Linked DNA regions of Drosophila melanogaster. The protein of the gene in region 2 interacts with the protein of the main gene of each other region in a pairwise test. Each region holds a gene or a part of one and is shown on either strand. Other genes may lie near its edges.

Region 1 (7,344 bases), on a different chromosome or scaffold from region 2:
GTTCCGCCGTTTGCTGATTATACTGACGCAAAAGGTATGTTTCCGCGACAAGGGTTTATCCCAACGATCAGTTGTTATATAGCCCCCTTACCCAGCTCAAGACCTTCATGGTTTAAGATAGCTCAAGCCGGAGCCAGTTGCCCAAAATAGCTCAATCAGATTATCCTCGAAAACATGCTGATCACTTTGCAAAAGCTTCCAGTATAAAATTCGATGTGAAAAACCATTTTAAACGGTATTTCCTGCAGCCAAGGCAATAAGTGTACTTTCACAGTCAGGCTAGGATCCTTAGGTCTATATAAACCACTTGTGGGAAGTATATTTATTTCCAAAAACTGCCAATGAAACTTTTTGCAAAGTTCTCTAGCTGTTTGTGAAATTATATTTATGTCCTTTGCTTTTGCACCGTTTAAAGGCAATACCAGTAATGCTCTTAATTATTTGCAGGAGGAGCGAAAACAGAATGAACGCCGCCAGAACAAAACTAAATAAACTTTTATGTGTAACAGCCACCACAAGAAAAACATCTGACACGGATTTTGGAGGCAGATTTCTCATTCTAGAAAATTATTCGCATTGAATATTAATAATGCCGTGTACATTTGGCTTTAAATTTACAGACATATATATCCAATATAAAACCCATGAAATTTTTCCATTTAATAAACACCACAAGAAGTAAGCTCATCCGCGTTTCTTGTCCCAAACATGGCGCAGTAGATAGACCATGTTGATAGTATCGATTAGGGGCGGAGGGGTCAATTAATTAGGCTAAGTGCACTCTGCAGGTAATAACTTGATGTTAGTGGGAATCGGTTATTCAAAGCTGTAGTGTTCAATGGACAACATGGCGCAGGCGGAGGACGCAGTGCAACCACTATTGCAGCAGTTCCAGCAACTGTTCTTCATATCCAAGATAGCTGGAATTCTGCCACAGGATCTCGAGAAGTTTCGATCTAGGAATCTGCTGGAGAAATCCCGTAATGGCATGATTTACATGCTGAGTACTTTAATACTCTACGTTGTGCTCTATAATATTTTGATATATTCCTTTGGAGAGGAGGACCGCAGCCTAAAGGCCTCGCAGAGTCAGTTAACCATCCGCCTTGAAAGGTGCAAACTCATAACCATGTTATTCATTCTTCCCAGGCACCTTGACTTTCGTGATTGGCTTGTTCCTGACCTATATCGGTCTGATTATGATGGTCTCCGACCAGTTGACCGCGTTACGAAACCAGGGTAGAATTGGAGAGCTTTACGAGCGCATCCGTCTGGTGGATGAGCGCCTTTACAAAGAGGGGTGTGTTATGGACAACAGTACAATTGGACGGCGCATACGAATTATGCTGATCATGACGGTCATCTTTGAGTTGTCCATTTTGGTGAGCACCTATGTCAAGCTGGTGGACTATAGTCAATGGATGTCCTTGTTATGGATAGTGTCCGCCATTCCCACGTTCATCAACACGCTAGACAAGATCTGGTTCGCTGTTTCGTTATATGCGTTGAAAGAACGCTTCGAGGCCATAAACGCCACCCTAGAGGAACTGGTGGACACGCACGAGAAGCATAAGCTGTGGCTGCGAGGCAATCAAGAGGTTCCGCCTCCTCTGGACAGCTCCCAGCCGCCTCAGTATGACAGCAACCTGGAGTATCTGTACAAGGAACTAGGAGGTATGGACATAGGTTCCATTGGCAAGAGTTCAGTGTCTGGTTCGGGGAAAAACAAAGTAGCACCAGTGGCCCACTCCATGAACTCCTTTGGTGAAGCAATTGATGCGGCCAGCAGGAAGCCTCCACCGCCTCCCCTGGCCACTAACATGGTCCATGAAAGCGAGCTGGGAAATGCCGCTAAGGTAGAGGAGAAACTAAACAACCTGTGCCAGGTGCACGACGAGATCTGTGAAATCGGAAAAGCTTTGAACGAGCTGTGGAGCTATCCCATTCTATCTCTAATGGCCTATGGTTTTCTGATTTTCACTGCTCAACTTTATTTCCTCTACTGCGCTACACAGTACCAATCGATACCATCGCTTTTCCGTTCCGCCAAGAATCCCTTCATCACTGTTATAGTTCTAAGTTATACGTCTGGAAAATGCGTGTACCTCATCTACCTGAGTTGGAAAACGTCGCAGGCCTCCAAGCGCACAGGAATCAGTCTGCACAAATGTGGCGTGGTGGCCGATGATAATCTTCTCTACGAAATTGTTAACCACCTATCGCTAAAATTGCTCAACCACTCGGTGGACTTTTCGGCTTGCGGCTTCTTTACCCTGGACATGGAAACATTGTATGGTGTGAGTGGCGGGATCACTAGCTACCTGATCATCCTGATTCAGTTCAATTTGGCCGCCCAGCAGGCCAAAGAGGCTATACAGACGTTCAACTCGCTTAATGACACCGCCGGCTTGGTTGGTGCCGCCACCGATATGGATAATATTAGCTCCACGCTGCGTGATTTCGTCACCACGACCATGACACCGGCGGTCTAAACTTTGTTTTCTTGAATGTTTTATTCGATGTTTCGAGCACGTCCTCCTGGCACTTTTACTTATATTTATTTGTCACGAAATAAACTCTCACGAAGCAGTTCTGCGTTTGTACTCCGCACGGGCATCCTCTATTTCATTAAGAAGATCTGCGTAGGTTGCATTCGCTCCGTCAAAGTCAAGGATAGCAACGCAACAAATTTGCGCTCGCTTTTGGAGGGCATAAGAAAGCTCCCTTCTCAGCAGAGGAAAGCAATAGGGCACTTGTTGCTGCTGGCATTGGAATTTCAAGCCTTCTATAGTCGCATCTAGACCACCTTTTTAAGCGGATATTATTAATGGCTGATTTGCGAACAATTCGATTACTCACTTTCGCCGGGGCAGATTTCGCAGTCAGTGGCCAGGAACAACAATTTCACCTTGTTTATCCTTAGCCTCGCCAGAGCTTCTCGAACACCCAAAACCAGGCGGGGATGTGCACGCGCTTTAATCTCGTTTTTGGCAAAGGCGCGCTTCTGAAATCGATCCAGGTCCCTTAACAACTGAGTGGACAACTCCTTGAGGCGAGGACGGGTGCAGTTGTCACAATAGCTGGAAGAGATCAAACATGATATTTCAACGTTTAAAGAAGGTACAACCAGTGTAATCAAACCTTCTAAATCGCCGTGAGTGAATGGCATGTACTGTTTTTGCTTGTGAAGGGTTGTTGGGTGCAGGGGTTTTACTAAGTGATAGGTTTTGAACTTGTTGCTCCAGCGGAATAGCATTCGGATTGATATCTTGACCAACTACTGGGACTCCTTCAAGATCATTCTCTGCGACTTCTCTCTCCGCCTTCTTTGAAGTGCGATATACACGTACGGACTTCTTCAACCTGGTGATCTTCTTCTTGGGATCAAGGCGGGTTTTGCCCTTGGGTTTGTAAACTATGTAGCTACCTCTTGTTATGGCTAAATGTGTCTTTTGAAGTTTATGTGCCTTTGTTTGCCTTTGTGTTTTTGGTCTCGGCTTGATGACAAAGTCCAGAAGAGAGGTTTGCTGCTCCCGTTTCCTGTGCTGGTTTTTGTACTTGGAGCTGCGTGGAGTAATCTTGATCGCTGTATCCTGGACATCCTGATTCCTGCTCCTCCTTATTTTTTCAGTCATTTATTGTGGATTCTTAGTGCATCTCTAAAATAGTGTTGGTCGTCGCGGTAAATGGTGAAATCGCTTTTTCACCACACATGAATGCGAAGAATCAGCGCGGTACAACAACGTAATTAATAAAATCAAGAACCGCAGCAAATGCGGCCTCATTCGTTCCTAAAAGTTTTGATTTGGAAGTTCAACGTTAGGCTTCTGTGAAAAAATGAGTACCGCTAATCATTTTCAAAGAATTCTTGAGAAATTGTCAATCTCTGACAATGAAAGGGCCGTATATACCAAGGAAGCCGAGGAAATTCAAAACTATGTAGTTGACGAACTTAAGCGGGTAGACAAAACCTTTCGCCAGGTATTCGACGGACTCAGTCTTGGAGGTAAGTTATTTAATTTTAAATATCTACATATATTCTACATATATTCTACATATATTTCTATATAAAAACAAAACAAATAAATAGAATAATGTTAGTTACAAGACATTGTCTGGTCGATTTTCTAATGCATTCAATATTATTTTTAATAAAAGTGTAAATTGACGGAAGTAATACAAATGTAAGTCGAGATAATCCAACGCTATACAATTACAATTGATATCTCTTGCTTTATTTTGTTTTATCATTTTTGCAAGAAATGTTGTACTTTCGTAAATTCATCGTTATGTATGTACATTATGTACCTAAAAATATATGTACACGTATCTTTTAGGAAGTTACTTGGATCGCGTCAAGCTAAATTTGCCCGATGAATTTGATCTGCACATGAAACTAAAGTTTCCATTTGATATCCGACCGACTCGGATCGACCAAGGGTTTATTTATTTAGAGGCTGATCTCACCGTAATCAATCCCCAACGCATCCATCGTATTGTACTTCAAGACTGGCTACGCAATGCATTCCGCAAGGTATTCAGGTCTAATCAGACAATTGCCACTACCAGTAATCGAGTCTACAAATTAACCTATACTCTTGAGGGGTATGGTTGTGCCCATACCATTTTAGCCGTTTGTGGTAGTCGCTCGATATCTTTTGATTTGGTACCAGCATTCGAATTCTCTGGAAGCCAATGGCCGTTTGATATTTGCCCGGTTCCTGCTGATGTTAGCAATAATTGGCCATGGTTCGCCATTCCGCAACAGAAGAAGAAGTCGGCTAAACCGAGAACCACATTCATGGTTTGTGCACCACATTGGGAGCGCGAAATTATGAAGGGCAAGGATAATTTGAAGAACGTTCTACGGCTGATGAAAGGATTGCGGGATGCCCACGCCAGGAAATTGCCTCACTTGTCCAGCTACATGTTGAAAACAGTTTTGCTTCATCGCCTCGAAAGTGCTGACTGGGAAAGAGACCTGGGCACCCTATTGGTTGAGATGTGGAGTCATTTGGTGGATCATCTACGCGCTCGTAGACTGGAGTTCTTTTTGGCTAAGGATCATAATGTATTCAATCGTATGAATCAAAATGAAATCAAGATATGTCTAGAAAACGCAAGCACTCTGCTAAGAAAGCTTTGTATTGCTCAGACATGCGGTGGTAGCTACCATCATGTGGCCCAACTATTCAATATTCCAAATTAAGAAGAATTTAATTTCAAAACAATACCGAGCCTTTTTCATGCCATTTGCAGAAAGGAAAAAGCGTACATGCACACATTTGGCTCATTCACAAGGGCGCAGAACAAATATTCGATTATATCCGAGGCTGAATAAGCACATATCTTGCTGAGTAACAGAACTTTAGTGGAAGAAAAAAGAAGTTGAATCAAAAGTCATTTCGGCCGCACATTTGATTGTTTACATTGTCCCTGAACTTTGTTTAAAAATAAAGCTACGAAAAAAAATTGATTTACCCTTTGTTTATATGTATGTATATTTATACAACTATGAGTGTTAAATATCTTATGAAGAGACAACTTTAGCCTTACGATCTACAGGAAATATCAACGGTAACTTTTAACTAAAGTTATATTTCAGGGGGATTTCGCTATAATCGAATGCTGCTTTCGATGGACATGTGCAAGTTGTTGAACTCCCTTAGGTGCGAAAGGATGTCGTCCCGCTCCCGTTCATAGATATCCCAGAATTTGAGATATTGGTTAACGTGCTGGAGTACCAGGTTGCGGGCAAAGTCAAGACAGCTCCTAACGTTACGCATCCGCCGCCTGCAGCTGGTCAAGACCGAACGCACCTGCTGCTCCGGCTCCAATTGGGCGATCACAAATGCAAAAACGTTTTGCACATCAATCCGCACATCGGTTGGGAAAACCACGGATTCCGCGCTCTTTGCCTGGGGGAAGACAATTAGAGACGGCGTGGTTGGCATGGCCAACTCCCAGGGCAGATCATTAGCCTGGCTATCGAAGCGTACAAAGTGCACCTCGGGGCTGCCGAGCAGCGCCGAAACCTGCAGAAATGCTTGGGATAGAACGGCTGACAGAGCGCAGTCAGGACGATGCATAAATACCACATTGGTGACATTTGGTCGCTGGATTGCCTGCAACAGCATCTGTCTATTGTATTTTCTACTGAACCCAGATTCCATCATGGCAAGAGCATTTTTGTGAGTCCTTGGCAATGTTCTGGCGTAAAACTGCCGTATAAAATCTTTAAGAGCTACGTAGGAGAATGTGTGTTGCTGTGGCATAACATACAGTGACTCTTCAGCCGCATCCAAGATGAAAACCTGCACCTGCTGATGGGTTTGCTGAATGCCAAGCTGGTGTAGATAGTCTCTATATTTCACAGAATCGAAGATCACCACGCCCAGCGACCGATTGTGGGCTGCGCGCTCCGTCGAGTGCTGCCAAATGAGCTGGCCATATTTGGTTACCATTTTGGCAATGCCGATTTTTATGGCCGGCGTTCCATGCTGTGAGTGTGCCAGGCAAAGGTTTCTGGAGTGAAGCCGCAGCAAGTGGGGGACGTTTCGATAACTCGGATGGTTCTGGTGCGAGTACTGCCTCCATAGGTGGTTTAGATACCTATTAATCCGATAATAGTTCTTAAGTGTGGTCTTGTTTTTACTCCAGGCCGGGTAACATGTCCGGGTTTGTTCACCATCCCCAAACAGCTCCTTGGGAACTTGATTTAGGGAGGAGGATATGTCTTCAGATTGTTTATCGAATTTTTTCCAGTAGTCTTCGCACCCCTCCGACTGCTTTTTTTGAGCGTAAGCCATCTCCTCGCCCATGACGCTAGCATGGTGATATTGGTTCATTCGAACTCCCATAGCCAGCACGGGGACATGTCGTGCCTTCATGGCGATGGTCATAGGAGTGCCATAGCCATTGGAGAACAGCGACATATTTTTGAGTGTGCTCCGTACCCAGCGCAGAATGTCGATGGTCTTCCATACTCCAGATGTACCATTAAACGTATGAACTCCATTTCGGCTGTCGATAACTACAAACTGGGGCAGCTTGGCCTCCGAGGACTTCAACATCTTCCTGGCACTGTTGCCAAAGTACACGGTGAAGCGGATATTCCTCTCCGGATCCAGTTCCAGCCAGCGCAGACCGGCAGCCAAGTAAAGATTGTAGGCCTTGTCGTCTGGCGAGTCAAGCAGACCCAAAACCACCGCATCCGAGTGCTTCCGAATGGCGGCGAGATCCTGACTACTGTGTGCCCGGTCCAGTGGCTGAAGCAGGTTATTCATGAACCGGGCGAGATCTTCAAAGCTCCACGAGCCCTGGTACTGGAGTAACTGCTTTTGG
Region 2 (7,559 bases):
GTTCGGCAGTGCCCTGACCTTTGATCACATCCACGAACATGGTGATGTGGGTGGCAATCGGATGATTAGCCGGAAAAAGTCCAAAGCTCTGTGCATTGAATAGTCCTCCACTGCAAATCGAGCGGAAATAAGATTGAAGAAACCTTTTACACACTTGCGTGTTTAACTTACGGCCAGATGTCAGTTCCTCCAGGATTAAGCTTGTTCTGCAGAGCCTTGAGCTTAACAGCTGCCTCAGCCACCTTCTTCACCGTGGAATTGTAGACCTCCTCGTGGGACATGTACTCATGGTTGAGGCCATAGCCATCCTCAAGATCGCTGAAGATCGCTTTCTCTGTCGATTAGAAATTACACTTCTTATACAACTTTCAATTATGAACAGAATAAGTGGTAGCAATAAAAGATAGAATCAGTCGTAAAGATAATGGTTCGATTTATAAAGTGTGACTGTGCCCTTCGTTATCACCTGGGGGTGTAGAGCAGCCCTTTAAGCTGATAAGAAAATTAGCTTATTTGCAATTGCAGGGAATCGTAGATATCACAAGTGCTATCACGATCTTTTATTATTGATAAAGCAATAAAGGTTTTAATTCGGCTGCTCAACAATGTATAACAATAATTGGACTTCGGGCCATTTGATGAACTGTTTGGACCCCGATTTTTTTGATGGCAAAGAAGCTTTAATTGAACAAAACCTGTGCCATATCACGAACACCGGCGTGACGCTAATGATTTTTATCTTTAACAATTACCGATTTCGCGCTTCTTCTTCAGTTTGTCTTGACCACCGTGCCACCAGGCGGAGAATTCCTCCACATGGAATTCAGCTGCAGCACGTTCCTTTTGAAGATCTGGATTCACTGTGCTCGGTATTAGGTTTTTAATATGCGACATTGTTGTGTGCAAAATAAAAATACGGAATTGTTAACAACTAAACTATGATCCACCACTAGATCCAATCAACAGCTGTGAGCTCCACGCGACTACTGAGCGAAAGTGGATGGATCGGCGAGAATGAAAAGCTTTTGGGGGGGCAAAGTGCACAAGACAGCTTTTCAAGAGAGAAAGCTGATCGACAAAGCAGCAGATGTTCATGGCTTGGCAAAGAATTCATTTAAAGAGCGGTATATGTTGGGTCTATATTATTAAAGAGTATTATTTACAAAAATAATACAAAACACCAATACATATGGGGTATTTACAATACATTACATTGAGCCTAACTCTAGATAGGTGGTTTAATAAACAGCTGTCCAAGGCACTAGATGTTTGACTTCATGAACGGCCTCAGGATCTCATGGAAGTACTTAGGCACTGCTTTTTGGTTCATCGGATTCTTGAGGGCCGCATCGAAGATACGCTCGTAGGCATTGCCATCGTAAGAGCCCAGAGTGGAGTTCAGCTGCAGATCGCTGAAGTCAAAGCCATCCACAATGGCCACAGCATCTGGTCGCAGTTTGGTGAGCACTGTTTCCAAGCGATCCTGCAGCCCGGAGAGATCCGTATCGGTCAAGTTAATGAACTGTGGAATAAGAATATATTAAGTTAACATTCAACACATTCTAGGCTAAATAATTGAAACCCACTCTCAGCAGGTGACCCATTTGATTAAGTGTCTCCTTGACTAGGTACAGCTCCAACAGGTTCTCCAGGACTCGATTGAAGTTAGCTGAGCGCGTCTTAGATTGAGGACCGGTGACTGCTTCATAGAAAGCACTGAAAACAAAAGCACGTCCGTGGAGCTATGGGCAAGAAAAAATTTAGAGTTTTTCAGAAATCGGTAGGGCACAGTCCAAGTCACTTTAGCACACTAACCTCTGCCGCCTGGGTGAACTCAATGCCCGTGTGATTAGCTGCGTTCGCTTCAGTTTCGCCCCTTGACATACGTTTGGAAAGGCTCCTGAATGCCAACTGTGTTCTATTGGCAGCTGCATACTGCATGGCCTTAACCATGTTCTCCCAACTTCCAGTCCAGGTGCCAAACTCCGGATTCTTTTGCACCTCGGCCAAATAGCGAACGGTGGGCGGCAACGGAGCTCCAGTCAACGCGGCTCGCCACGTCTTCATTAAAAAGCGACCGATCTGCAGAAGCAGTACGGTGTTCTCACCCTCATACGTGCAAGCTGCGGTGGCACTAACGTATATACTGCTCATGTTGGATGAGGTGAGGAATCCATGACCACCACAGGCCAGTCGCAATTTCTCTACACCAGAAGCGGAGTCCATGGAGCAGGTAACTTTCAAAGCGCAGGACAGAGAATGCAACTCCGGCAGACGTTCGTATTTTCCGTTTTCTATATCCTCGATGGTCACATCGTACAGATTCCACAAGTAATCACCGGCCTTTCGGTATGCCACGCTTGTGGCAATCTCTGGGAAGAGTTTCATTTGTTGTGTAACATGATCCATGATCTGAGGCTCTCGTTCGCTGAAAATAAACAAGGGACAATTGAATTCGAATAAATGTATCTACGTTGTTAACAACTTACTTGGGATTAATTGGGCTCTGACGGCGCACAGCCGAGTATCTGGTTGCAATGGTGGCAGCAGAAGCCAACATCACGGCATTGTTTTTGGCAATTACACAACGCGTGCGGACCATGGCAAAGTAGGTAAGCACATTGGTGGGACTACTAACATAGGATCCATCAGCCTTCACCTGAGCATGTCGCATCAGCATTCTCGTACGAGGAATCCGTACGTTCTTTAATCCAAGGAAACCATTGTTTACGCCAATGAAGCCCATTTTCTTGCCAATATCACCGATGTGGACGCCGGGCAGTGGTTCGTGGGTGTCTTCATCACGCACCTGAATAAAGAACATGTGCGGACCCTTGCAGTCGCCGTCGATGTACAGCTGAGCCATAACCAGGCAGTGATTGGAGCTGTGGCCCACTGAAAATTTATAGTTAAACTTTAATATCTGAAAACCGATTGGATCACCATGCCAGAACTTACAGCCTCCGGGCCACCACTTGTAGGAGGAAATATTGGGGGTGTTGAGTACAAATTGATCAGTCTTTCGATCAAAATCAGCACGCGTTTCCAGCCCGCGCAGGTAGGTTCCATGACCCAGTTCCGTTTGGGCATAGGTGCCGCAAATCTCGAAGAGTTCCACCCGCTTGCCGAATTCTTCATACTGCTCCGGAGTGCACTGAGCCTGCAGAGCTTTCACCAGCATCACGTACATCACACCAAAAGGATTGCCACCGGGAACGAGACCCCACATCACTTGAGCGTCATACAAATTCCTAGAAGAGTAAGGTAATCAGTCATTATTCGTGTACTTGGCATCGGTAAGCAGGAAACACCCACGGCCAGTAGACATCTCCGCCAGGATTGCGCTCCTCCTGCAGGCGGCGTAGCTTCTTGGCGCCTTCGATTGCTCCACGCGTGGAAAACTCGATGATCTCTTCGTGGGTTTTGTTTTGCAGCTGCAGCATCTCCGACAAATCCACATCCTTCTCCATATATTCACCTGGTCATAGAGAAAAACAGCCCAGTCAGCATGACCCCAAATTATCTGTTCCCACTGATAAGCGGAGCGATGATTAGTTTTATGGACTTACGAACGCCGCGGTTGAACTTTAGCACTTCCTCGCCCCCCGCCCACCAAGCGGCGAATTCTTCGCTGTTAAAGCTGGCTGCATCTCGTTCCTTCTGCAGATCGGGATTTACGGTGGTAGGGATAACCGAAGTGGAAGAGGCCATAACAACTAGATTTAGAAAACCTGCGAACTGCGCGCCAAGAGCACCGACCGCTTACTGACTTTAAAACAGCCGATGGCTCTTCATAAATATAAGTGAAACTTGTAGTCTTTGCTCTTTCGATACGAGTGTTTTTGATTGAATGCTTTGTTATGGCGCAACCGTTATCTGGGTAATCGCTGGATCCCAGGTCAAAATTTAATCGGATGCATACTCCACTTTACTACCTTATTACGCTGACATCAGGGTGGTAAGCACAATTAATAAGATAAGATTTGAATACCAACAAAAAAAAAATAGGTTTGCCCCCACAGATGTTAAGACTCAAATTAGTAAACTGATAGCAAGTTTTAGATCACTTGCGATCATCTCACTAAACACAGATATCGGTCAATAGCAGCATGTTACACTTCTCTGTTAACTAACACCACTGTTATCGGTTATTAGAAAATCGAAAGACTTCCATCTCAATTGGATTTCTATTGTTTGGTTTAGTGCAGTCTATTTTTTACCTCATTTTTCCTCGGCGTACAATGCCGATCAACTTTAATATTGGCTTGCTGGGACATGTTGACAGTGGCAAGACCACCTTGGCCAAGGCTTTAAGTTCGATTTCCAGCACGGCCGCCTTCGACAAGAATCCGCAATCAGTGGAGCGAGGCATAACTTTGGATTTGGGCTTTAGTGGACTTTTGGTGGATGCTCCTGCGCACTTACCTCAAGGAGAACAGCTCCAGTTCACCTTTGTCGACTGCCCCGGCCATGCAAGTCTTATACGCACTATTATAGGAGGTATTGATAACATTTAATGTCATTCTAAGATCCCTTAGCTAAACTAAACAATTGCAGGTGCCCAGATCATTGATCTCATGCTCCTGGTGGTGGACGCCCAAAAAGGCAAACAAACCCAAACAGCAGAATGCCTCATTATCGGGGAGCTGCTGCAGAAAAAGCTGATTGTAGTGATCAACAAAATAGATGTTTATCCAGAAAATCAGAGGGCGTCCAAGCTGGAGAAGCTACGCTTGCGGCTCGCAAAAACTTTGGAAGCCACCACATTCGGTGGTCAAGTGCCCATATGTGCTGTGTCTGCTTTGCAAGGAACACATATCGCGGAGTTGCGAGAAGTACTTAGAGAAGCCTACTTTCAGCCGCAGAGAAACCTAGCCGATCCACTCTTCATGTACGTTGATCATTGCTTCGGAATAAAGGGCCAGGGAACCGTTTGCACTGGCACTCTGCTCCAGGGAAAGGTTCAGGTAAACAATGTGATTGAGCTGCCAGCTCTTGGGGAGCAAAGGAAAGTGAAGTCCATACAGATGTTTCGCAAAAACGTGACCAGCGCCTCTATGGGCGACAGAATTGGGCTTTGCGTGACACAATTCAATGCAAAGCTGCTGGAGCGTGGAATCATTACCCAACCGGGTTACCTGAAACCCATCTATGCCGTGTGTCTACAGTTTAAACCCATCCGCTATTACAAGGAAGTCATAAAATCTATGAGGAAGATGCACATCTCCGTGGGACACAACACAGTGATGGCCAATGTAACTTTGTTTCGGGATACGGACGGCACAACTTCCACTTTCCAACTGGACAAAGAATACGAGTATATGGAGGACGTCCAGCCTGCGGAGGTTCAACATAATGATGTGATCTACGCTCTGTTGCAATTCGAAAGTCCTGTTCTATCTCCGCCACATTCAACGCTGATTGCTTCGAAGCTGGACATGGATGTCCATAGTACCAGTTGTAGATTGGCGTTTTGGGGACGCATTGCCTGGCAGACGCACAGTTCCAAATACTTTCAGGAAGAACTGCCGAAACTGCGGATTTTCAAGCGCAAACAGAAAGTGGGAAGCATTCAGCGAGTGGTCAATAGCAGCGAAGTGATAGTTCAAAACCTTTTTAAGGACGCCAAACGTGATTTGTACGTCGGCAAGAATGTGGAGCTCTCGACGGGAGAGAAGGGTCGCATTGAACGCACCTTTGGCCAGACATCCAAAGTGGCTATAACTTTTCAGGACGCCCTATCTCCTGAAACAATAAGCAATGTGAAGAATGTTAAGGTTTTGCTGAACTGTAAGAAATATGTGTTCAATAAACAGGCAGGCTTGTTTCAATGACAAAGTTAATAACTAGGTTTTTTTTATCTCTAATTTAAATATTCCGCCAAGGTGGTAAATTTATCGACCATTTATATTTAAGAATGTACTAATGCTGTTAAATTGCTGTTATTTTCTAACATTATACCTTTAGAGCCATAAAACTTTCGGTATATTTTTAGATCTCTGCACAGTGGTATTTGCGACCGCTCCGAGTGCGGTCACACTGACCCAATCCCAAAATGCCAATGTTAAAAAACAACAACAATTTTGGAGCCTGCCCCCGCGAACTGCAATAAACAAAACATCGAAACCGGAATCGAAAACGACAACAGATAGTACCCGCGAGAAAGAGCTCCCGCCAACAGAACACCACCACCGCCTGTCCAACCGAAGTGGCCAAAAAGAACACCACCCATGTTCCCAGTGCTGCTGCTCCTTCTCTTCTTCTTCGCCAAGGAAACCCACCAGATCAATGTGGACTGCAACGAGCTCCAGATGATGGGCCAGTTCATGTGCCCCGACCCGGCGAGGGGTCAAATCGATCCCAAGACACAGCAGCTGGCCGGATGCACCAGGGAGGGTCGCGCCCGCGTCTGGTGCATCGCCGCCAACGAGATCAACTGCACGGAGACTGGCAATGCCACGTTCACCCGAGAAGTGCCCTGCAAGTGGACGTGAGTGCAGCTACAGTATCTCATAAACATAATCTTAAGACCTATATTCTATTCCTATTCTATAGGAATGGCTATCACCTGGACACCACACTGCTACTCTCTGTCTTTCTGGGCATGTTCGGCGTGGATAGATTCTATTTGGGCTATCCGGGCATCGGACTCCTCAAGTTCTGCACCCTCGGCGGCATGTTCCTGGGCCAGCTGATTGACATCGTGCTGATAGCCCTGCAGGTTGTGGGTCCGGCGGATGGCTCCGCCTATGTGATACCCTACTACGGAGCCGGCATCCACATCGTGCGCAGCGACAACACCACGTACCGGCTGCCCAGGGACGACTGGTGATGGTTAAGGCAGCACAGCGCCTGGTGTACAGTAGATCACTTTAAGTCCTTGTTATACCTTAAGTACGGCTTATGACACTAACGATAAGCAACGACTGCGGATCCGTTCCGATCGAACAATGGATCGCTTCGGTTCGGATCGAGACTCCGGATTAGTGCATTACGTACCCTCCTAGTTGATAAGTGTATAGATTGTTGCCACCCTTCCTTTGCGTAGCCTAAGTTGCATTGTTTAGACTTAGTTACCAATGTACATGGTCCCTCATACAATTCTACATCTATGTACTTGTATAGGCCGCATAGACAAATTGTTTGCCAATATAACTAACGATTTTAATTAGTCTGTCGTGTATGCCGTGTATATGTATGTATATGTATCTTCCGTGGAATTCCCTCTTTCAGCTCGCGGACGAACAATCGCACTTCTTGGCAAATATAATTGGCCCACTTGTACTTTGAACTCGCGAACATTTTCGGCGTGACAGAGATTGGTCAACAAGAGAACAAAACGGAGAAGCCACAGTGCCGGCGACATCCCGCCTTGTTGACGTTGTTGACTCACCGGCGAAACGCCCAGACACCAGAGCAGCACATCATCAACGGAGAACGATTACGCACAAACTGGGCTATTGCAGAGGCGACGGTGGCGGCGGATGATCTTTTCTGTTCGGAAAACATTTGCTCTTCTGGCCCTTTCATCCGATTGGCATTTCCGAATTTATCAGCGG
Region 3 (7,688 bases), on a different chromosome or scaffold from region 2:
TAAAATGAAGGTGTTCTCTTTACTCAATACACTTGACACTCGTAGAAGAAATTGATGTTAAACATACGGAACTGATTGGTATCTTTGATGCAGATACACGGATTTCCTGGCTCACCTGTGCACCACCAGGCGGATCTCGTTGCCAGCGCCGCGGAACAGCTGCTGTGCATCCGCATGACTCAGGTCGCGTGCGTCGTACTCGCCGATCTTCGAGATGATGTCGCCTCTTAGAAGTTCGCCATGCGCTGGGCTGCCCACTTGCACCTGCAACGGGTGGGGTGGAAAAGGAGGTGGGAAGGTCATTAGACACACATAGTATAGGGTGCAACGGGCTGGTTGCAACCTTGACACAGATTTATGGGTGCCTAAATAGATGCAGACAGAATTATGATCGCCAAAATGTGTGTGTTTACATCGCAGCTCAGTGAAAAGGGGGTAGGTAGGAAAAGTGGAAATTTTCTTCGACTATTCGGTTGCGCCTCAATTAGTTTTACTGGCGTCGCATTTTGGCAACGCTGCAGCGTTTATTGTTGCTGTGCCCGTTTCGCTATTTTGATTTGTTGTTGTTTATTTGGGCGCTGAGAACAAAGCGGCATGCGGGGCACAAAGGCCAATCGCTTTTCCTCAGGCATTTCTTCTCTGGCTCAATTTTGATGAATGGACCACAAGCGACCACAAGGCGACAGTCTCTCTGGTTATATAACGCCCATTTACCCTGGTGATAATTAGCGGCGTGTCCAGATCGTTGCCGCCCACCAAACGAATGCCCCAGGGCGTGGCCTGACCATCGCGCAGTAGCACCACCGCAAACTCATGCAGCTTGGGGCTCATCCTGATGTTGAAGATAGACTGGAAGATCAGACGCTCATCCGATCCAGCGATGGTTTATCCCGAAAATATATATTTATTTTTTATTGTTTATTTTTTTTTCTGGCCTTTTCTGGCCGAGCCGCAGGCGGCGCGCGATTGCAATCCGTTAAGCGTTTTGTTCGATCGCAAAGCTGCTCAAGTACTAATTTTAAAATACAATTCGTATTCCTTTTTGCAGCAACAGCAGCGGCAGCAGAGTACACTGCGCCACAAGTTTGTTTCTTACATACACATATGTACATACATGTACAACTTATATCCGCCGGCAACGGCGACTACATGCTGAGAAACATGAATTCGATTGGCGAATCCTAATCGTTAAATGGGGTTTCCGCTAAGAGCACTCTGAATTTCTCAGAGCGGATGTCGTGGATTCAAAAAGCATCAGGAGCATTTACCTCGGCAAAGCTCATAATTACCACAAGATAATTAGGCGTATACTTGATAAGCGGCTGCATATCAAATTACGCATACGCAGTGTTAATAAACATGATTGCTTGCATGTGTGCCATGTATTTAAAGCTTTACTATTTTCATTATTATATATACCCAAATCGCGAAGAGCATCCGCAAGCCACCACAAACTCAAACCTTTTCCCACATTGTTCCCATTGTTTAATTCGACGTGTGCCCTGCATTTGTGGCATTCTGCATTTCGTTGACCACATTTTAGGGCAGCACTTGATCCAGTTGCACGCTGACCCTGAAGAGATGAATGCCACATATCATCATCTAGGCGAATGCTTTGATGAGCTAGCTCGCCTGATGCAAAAAAGCATAAAAATCAAGTATCTAGGCATCTGTTTTTCCTCGACATTTTCGACTATTTTATTAGTGTTTTATTCCTCTCCGACTTGTTTGCCGAACGATGAGGCAACCAAGAGAGAGTGTAATTAGTTTTAGTTACTGAGGCGGTACTAGCACAACTGCAACAACCAATTCGACACTCTTGCCCAATTTAAATAAGCAAATCATATTAGATTTTTAATGCATTAGTCAATGGAAAAGTCTACGGCCAACGTGACGTATACGCAATATGAACGGGTCAACGGTTGAAGGACGTTGGTTTGTATTAAACATTCTGTCTGCCTCTCGATTTTGGCAACAATTTTACTGTTTACAGCGGAAAAATCTTTTCCTGCCTTTTGGCTTTTCGCTGAATATATACACAATATATGGCTTGCCATTTCATTTTTAATTTTATACATTCTGATTTCGGCACTTTTTGGCTGGCTCTTGAAATGTTTTTACTATTTGCGGCTTGAATTGTTTTCATTTCATTTTCAATTGGAATTCGTGTAATGTTTTTACGGTGACTTTTGCTGTAGATCAGCCTTGAGCGGATTGTAAATCATTCGAAATTCTTCACCCAACGTCTTGCGAATGGTATAAAAGTCATGCCAATGGAAATATAGATCCATCCATCTTTTTTGGGCCATTTTACTTGACCGAAAAGTGCAGCAGTGGCCAATTAATTAGATTTGGCTTGACAAATTTACGAGCCGCAAGGGGCGAAATGTTATTGAACTGATTTCTGAGTCGGCCTGTTGTGAATTGGGGCCACAAATACATTGGAATACGAATAAGAAAAGAACACACGCGCGATGATTGACAAGCCGGGCGATTTGAAAGGGGTTGGGGCTTCCACTTTTCTCGGCCACTTGGACTTACCCCCACGTTTTGCTCATCGGCAAAATGGACGCGCTTCTTCAGTCCGCTGCTGCTGCGCCGCCTGCAGGGCGATGGCAGCGGTACGAGCGGCGGTTTTGGGGTCGGCTGTGGACGATAGGACGTGGGCAATTCGTAACCGGGCACCTTCCAGAAAGCCGGTCGACTGAATGACGCGGACGCCGATGATCTGCTGGTCGTCATTGCTGGCCAGCGACTAGAGTAAACAAAAGAAATGCTCCGCACATTCAGAAATATGCGCTAAATTCTACGATTCGAACGCGTCTGCTCGCGACTGCGTGTGTGTGTGCACTAGTAGGCAATTGAAAAATCAAATAAAAGCGGAGAAAAAATCAGAGAAAATGAGCGAAAACAGAATATTATTATTCATTCAAAATCCAGTGAAATAGTGAGACGCGGAGAATTATGAATGGATTAATTGATGTTTCAGTTAGTAAATTTGATTGAGCAAAGAAAATACATACAAGCAATATCTAATAATCATGATTTAATCATTTTCATTTACAATTTAAACAATAGCGCCTTCAGCTTTACAAGATCTGGCAACCAGCTTAAAAACAGTTTTTCAATTAATTAATTAAAAAGAACAATACAATTAAGACAGAAGGTAATTACATACATTTTTACGAGGACAGTAAACCATTTAAAATTTCGATTTATTTATAAAATTTAATCGTTAAAAACTTTGAATTTTACCGCCCAATGCACTCAAAAATCGATAGTCGCAGAGAATAATCGATTAGAGCTCGAACCATCTGGCAACGCCCATTGTTTTGTTGTGTTTTATACCTGCAGATTTCACCCAGCATAAAACTGAGATAAAGCTTTAATTAATTACACATAGGGGTACTGCAAGATCTCAGCATAGCCCCGCCCACATAAAGCCGCAGCATGTCTATTTTCAAGGCGCGGTAAGCTGTTATTCTAAGCTAATCCAAACTTCTCCGTAAACAAAGACTTTCTCTAACCAAAATGCAGAGTCAAGGAATTTGAGGATGTTTTGGCGGGGCCACAGGATTTAATTGACCTGAAACAACTCAGGAAACTGGCATTTAATGGTAGAAAGCTAAGAGTGCATTTGAAATGTTCAAAATTTGAAGTCTGAGCACTCCACAGGTGTGCCCGATGTGCAGAGTTTTCGAGCACTCAGTTGGAAGCTACTCCTTGGCTATTTGGGGCCTAGGCGCAGTAGTTGGACCACAACCTTGGCCCAAAAGCGAGCCCTGTATAAACAGTTCATCGAGGAGCTAGTCCTGCCCCCCGGACACTCGAGCAATAGAGCTAGCGTAGACGGAGGAGATGGGGACAAAGTCGATTCGGGGGGCGTTGGCCTGCAAGATCATCCGCTGAGCGAGGGACCCGAAAGCGCGTGGAACACGTTCTTCAATGATAACGAGTTTCTACTGCAAATCGACAAGGATGTCCGCCGCTTGTGCCCGGACATATCCTTTTTCCAGCAGCCCACCGATTATCCCTGCGAGATTGTGGTCCACAGCAAAGGAGAGCATGGACGAAGGCTCCACGAACGGGTGGTTCCCGCCGTTCTAAGTTCGGCGAATGTGGAACGCAAGGGCCTCGGCATGACAAAGGTGAGTTCAAGATCGGAATTGTGCTAGACAATAAGCTCAGAATGTGTTGTTTCATTCATGCATACCGTGTGGATTTTAGCAGCAAGTAAGTAAGCCCATCTGGAACTGCCCCAAACCTAATGAATATGTGTGCTCTATATAGATAAATTTGATTACAAAACGCTCCGTTGAAAACTATGCCGCCATGGAGGAGGGCCAAGAGGCTCACTGGGAAGTTGTGCAACGCATTTTGTTCATCTATGCCAAACTAAATCCCGGCCAGGGATATGTCCAGGGCATGAACGAAATCGTGGGACCCATTTACTATGTTATGGCCTCCGATCCTGACCTCACATATCGCGCCCACGCTGAGGCTGATTGTTTCTTTTGTTTTACCGCCCTGATGAGCGAGATAAGAGACTTTTTTATTAAAACACTAGACGACGCAGAAGGCGGCATCAAGTTCATGATGGCCAGGCTATCGAATATGCTGAAATCAAAGGACCTAAGCATTTACGAGCTACTCAGGAGCCAAGAGCTGCATCCGCAGTATTACAGCTTCAGGTGGCTCACACTGCTCCTGTCGCAGGAGTTTCCACTGCCAGATGTACTGCGCATTTGGGATTCCGTGTTTGCGGACGAACAGCGATTTGATTTTCTGATAAAAATATGCTGTTCAATGATATTGTAAGTAAACTTAGCTTTAGTATAAAGCAAGAACTAATATGAAATTTTGCAGAATCCAAAGGGAAGCAATTTTGGAAAACGACTTTGCCTCGAATGTGAAACTCTTGCAAAACTATCCGCCAATTGACATTAATGTTGTGATTGCTCATGCCGGATCATTGGCGTAGCATTCCTCCAGAAATATATCCTTGTGCCCAAATGCTTGCAAAGCCCCCTAGTTAGTTTAACAACTGAAAGAACCAAGCAATCAACTATACTTTAGTTAGCCCCAATCTTGGAAACGCACCCTTACAGGAAGTCCAATAAGTACACGCATTTTCACTTTTTTACATGACTTATAATTTGTATGTCATTAATAAACGAATTAATTTTAACATTTCGTGGTCCCAATTAGATAAACGTCAGAACGTTAAAGAAGTCATAGGTTGGTCAGTCGTTAAAAGAATACCGATGAACGTGTGGCATCGTCTCATTAAACTTAAACACCGTTCGAAGGTTCACTTGTTAAGCTTTGGAGCTGTGTCCTTGCATATGGACTGTGCAATAAACTCGATGAGTGTCCTTGTTGGACGTCCGGCCATGCCCTCTCGCAGATACTCGAACTCATCACCACGTGTGATCATCACGTTGGTGGCATCCTGGATTAAATCACAAATCAAATCAAAGTCCTACAACTAATAAAAACAAAACTTACAATATGCATCCATTGGCCGCAAGGCACAAATTCACGAAGGAAAGCGGCAGCTTTGCAAGGACGTCCACCACGACCGATACCGTAGTTCTGGACATCACTGCGTCCACCGGCACGCACCGCCTTGCTGTAGTAGTTCCACAGGGGGAAACGCCACACGCGGTCTCCAGTGTGCATGCTGGCGTGCTTGATCTGCTGCCAAAGGATCTCAGAGTTGGTAAACACCCCACAGGCAGCCTCATCCAACGCTTGGCGCATATATCCCGAGCAGGTGCCAATGTCAATGATGCACTTCGGACAGAAGTTCTGCCCGTACAGAAGGGCATCCGCCAGCACTAGAACATCTTCGTGGTCGGTGCACTGCACCTCAATGGTCTTGCCATTCATGGATTTCACCATGTCTCCAGGACGGAAGGAATTGCATCCAATAACGTTCTCGCACAGGGGTATTAGTCCACGAATATTGACCTAACGGTAATATATGGTTATCCAAGGAATAACATCGGGTCATCCAGTCACTTACCGGTAACCTCAGGCCAGCGACAGCACGACAAGTGGCCACCACTACGGCCGCACCAGTCATATCTCCGCGCATGTGGAAAAGTTCCTGCTTCTCCTTTAAGCACAAACCACCTGCATCGTAAGTCACTCCCTGCCCAACCAAGACGATGGGTCGCTCCTCGGCACAGGTGCCGTAGTAGCTCAGCTCCAGAAAGATTGGTGGTTCGCAAGAGGCCTTTCCCACCGCCAAGAAGGCGTGCATCGACTGGCTCTCAGCCCAACCCTCGACTTTGACCTCTACATTGACGCCGGACTTACAAAGCACTTCGACGACATTCTGGGCAAAGGCAGTGGGGGTCAAAAGGTTGGAGGGCATCTCCTGCAACTGGCGGGTCAGGTTCTGCGCGGCAGCCTTTTGCAGGCCGATACGCCATCCTTCTATGTCGCAAATCTCATCCTTAGTGGCATACAGATCGATGGAAGGCACTGAGATTCGCCGCTTGGGATCGCGAAGCTCCTGGTAGATCCAGATCCCGAGAGCTGCTCCCTCCGCGGCAGATTCGGCGTGTCCACAGTTCTCTACTTCGATGCGGTCGGTGTCCAGTTCAGCGAGTATTCGGCAGGCATCCGCTACCGACCGTCGGATGGCCTCCTTCTGCTCGTCGAGCACCTCGTATGGGTTATAGCCCAGGCATTCCTTACCCAAACCGATAACTGCCACCGCCGAATAGTAGGGCACGCGCTCCGGCTCCACGGCGAACAGGAGGCGGGTCTCTCCCCTTTTGGGCATGGGTCCGGACATTCGCAGCACTTCTAGCAACCGACCGTGCGTCTTCTGCACATTGTACTTCCAGCCGGTTGGCGTCAGGATGCCAGCGTCGTTCTTGTCCTCCTCGTCGGCGTAGACTCCAACGACCAAGCCACGCGACGGAGGATCCGCGCAGATCTCCATCTGCTGCAGCTGCAGCATCTGGTTGATCGCCTGCGAGGCGTACCTGCGATGACGGATCACCTCCGGCCGACGAATGGAGAGACTACACGCCCGGGTTATGGCATTGCGAGAAAACCGAAACATTTTGCTTGAAGTTTAACTTAAAACTTTGATGAATGCTGAATAATATTACTACTAGTATTGAAAACTTTCTCTTCGATTTTCTGTGCCGCTTCAAAATAATTCATGAAATTTTTTCACCCAGACTAGCTAAAAGTGTGTACGTGTTCAACCTCGAAACGAATAAAAATAAGACTGAGCTAGTCCTATGTTTCAGTTCCGACGTAGCACTGACATTAGTCTCGATAAGGTTGCTAGATCATCAGGATTTTAATGTAAAATCTCTGCCTGCTAAGTGCGAATTTTTTAGAGAATATGTTCTTAAGATGAAATGCTCCAAATGTCAATTGTGTTGCGATTTGCAACATGCTTTTGCACAAAATAGCAATCGAAGGTTAATGTTCTTGCAACTGTCTAATGCACTCAATAAAAGTCATAAAATCGCTAGATACCATTACTACGCATACCACAGATTCGATTTTCATTACAATGTACATTTTCCTGTATAAGTTACTTCAACTACATAAATTCCCCAAAGGCGATATCCATGAAATATCTAAATATATTGTATAGGCTTATTGAAAAGCCAATATGCATAGGCTTGTATCCCAATAAGTACTCATGCCATTTC

What was found.
Region 1: the proteins of eEFSec (region 2) and Sbp2 interact in a two-hybrid assay, tested with the Drosophila melanogaster proteins (one study listed by BioGRID).
Region 3: the proteins of eEFSec (region 2) and GAPsec interact in a two-hybrid assay, tested with the Drosophila melanogaster proteins (one study listed by BioGRID).

What each region holds. Positions count from the first base shown.
Region 1 is NT_037436.4:8,300,484-8,307,827, reverse strand, and holds Sbp2 (SECIS-binding protein 2), read right to left. Parts: upstream 3,672-7,344; 5' UTR 3,636-3,671; coding exon 3,142-3,635; intron 3,081-3,141; coding exon 2,860-3,080; intron 2,807-2,859; coding exon 2,580-2,806; 3' UTR 2,503-2,579; downstream 1-2,502. Other genes in the region: BI-1 (Bax Inhibitor-1), read left to right, coding at 1-34, 448-492; Gr66a (gustatory receptor 66a), read left to right, coding at 848-1,088, 1,150-2,492; CG7194 (uncharacterized protein), read left to right, coding at 3,838-4,006, 4,338-5,209; CG13671 (uncharacterized protein), read right to left, coding at 5,616-7,344.
Region 2 is NT_033778.4:21,382,834-21,390,392, reverse strand, and holds eEFSec (eukaryotic translation elongation factor, selenocysteine-specific), read left to right. Parts: upstream 1-4,171; 5' UTR 4,172-4,241; coding exon 4,242-4,500; intron 4,501-4,557; coding exon 4,558-5,834; 3' UTR 5,835-5,841; downstream 5,842-7,559. Other genes in the region: Acox57D-d (acyl-Coenzyme A oxidase at 57D distal), read right to left, coding at 1-110, 172-334, 753-894; Acox57D-p (acyl-Coenzyme A oxidase at 57D proximal), read right to left, coding at 1,262-1,522, 1,587-1,742, 1,816-2,428, 2,490-2,895, 2,959-3,251, 3,316-3,478, 3,570-3,711; bisc (biscotti), read left to right, coding at 6,231-6,490, 6,556-6,832.
Region 3 is NT_037436.4:8,619,537-8,627,224, reverse strand, and holds GAPsec (GTPase activating protein, SECIS-dependent read-through), read left to right. Parts: upstream 1-3,323; 5' UTR 3,324-3,450; coding exon 3,451-3,470; intron 3,471-3,537; coding exon 3,538-3,617; intron 3,618-3,675; coding exon 3,676-4,148; intron 4,149-4,290; coding exon 4,291-4,814; intron 4,815-4,866; coding exon 4,867-4,981; 3' UTR 4,982-5,186; downstream 5,187-7,688. Other genes in the region: Zasp66 (Z band alternatively spliced PDZ-motif protein 66), read right to left, coding at 116-264, 2,542-2,742; S-Lap2 (Sperm-Leucylaminopeptidase 2), read right to left, coding at 5,312-5,452, 5,509-5,973, 6,029-7,081.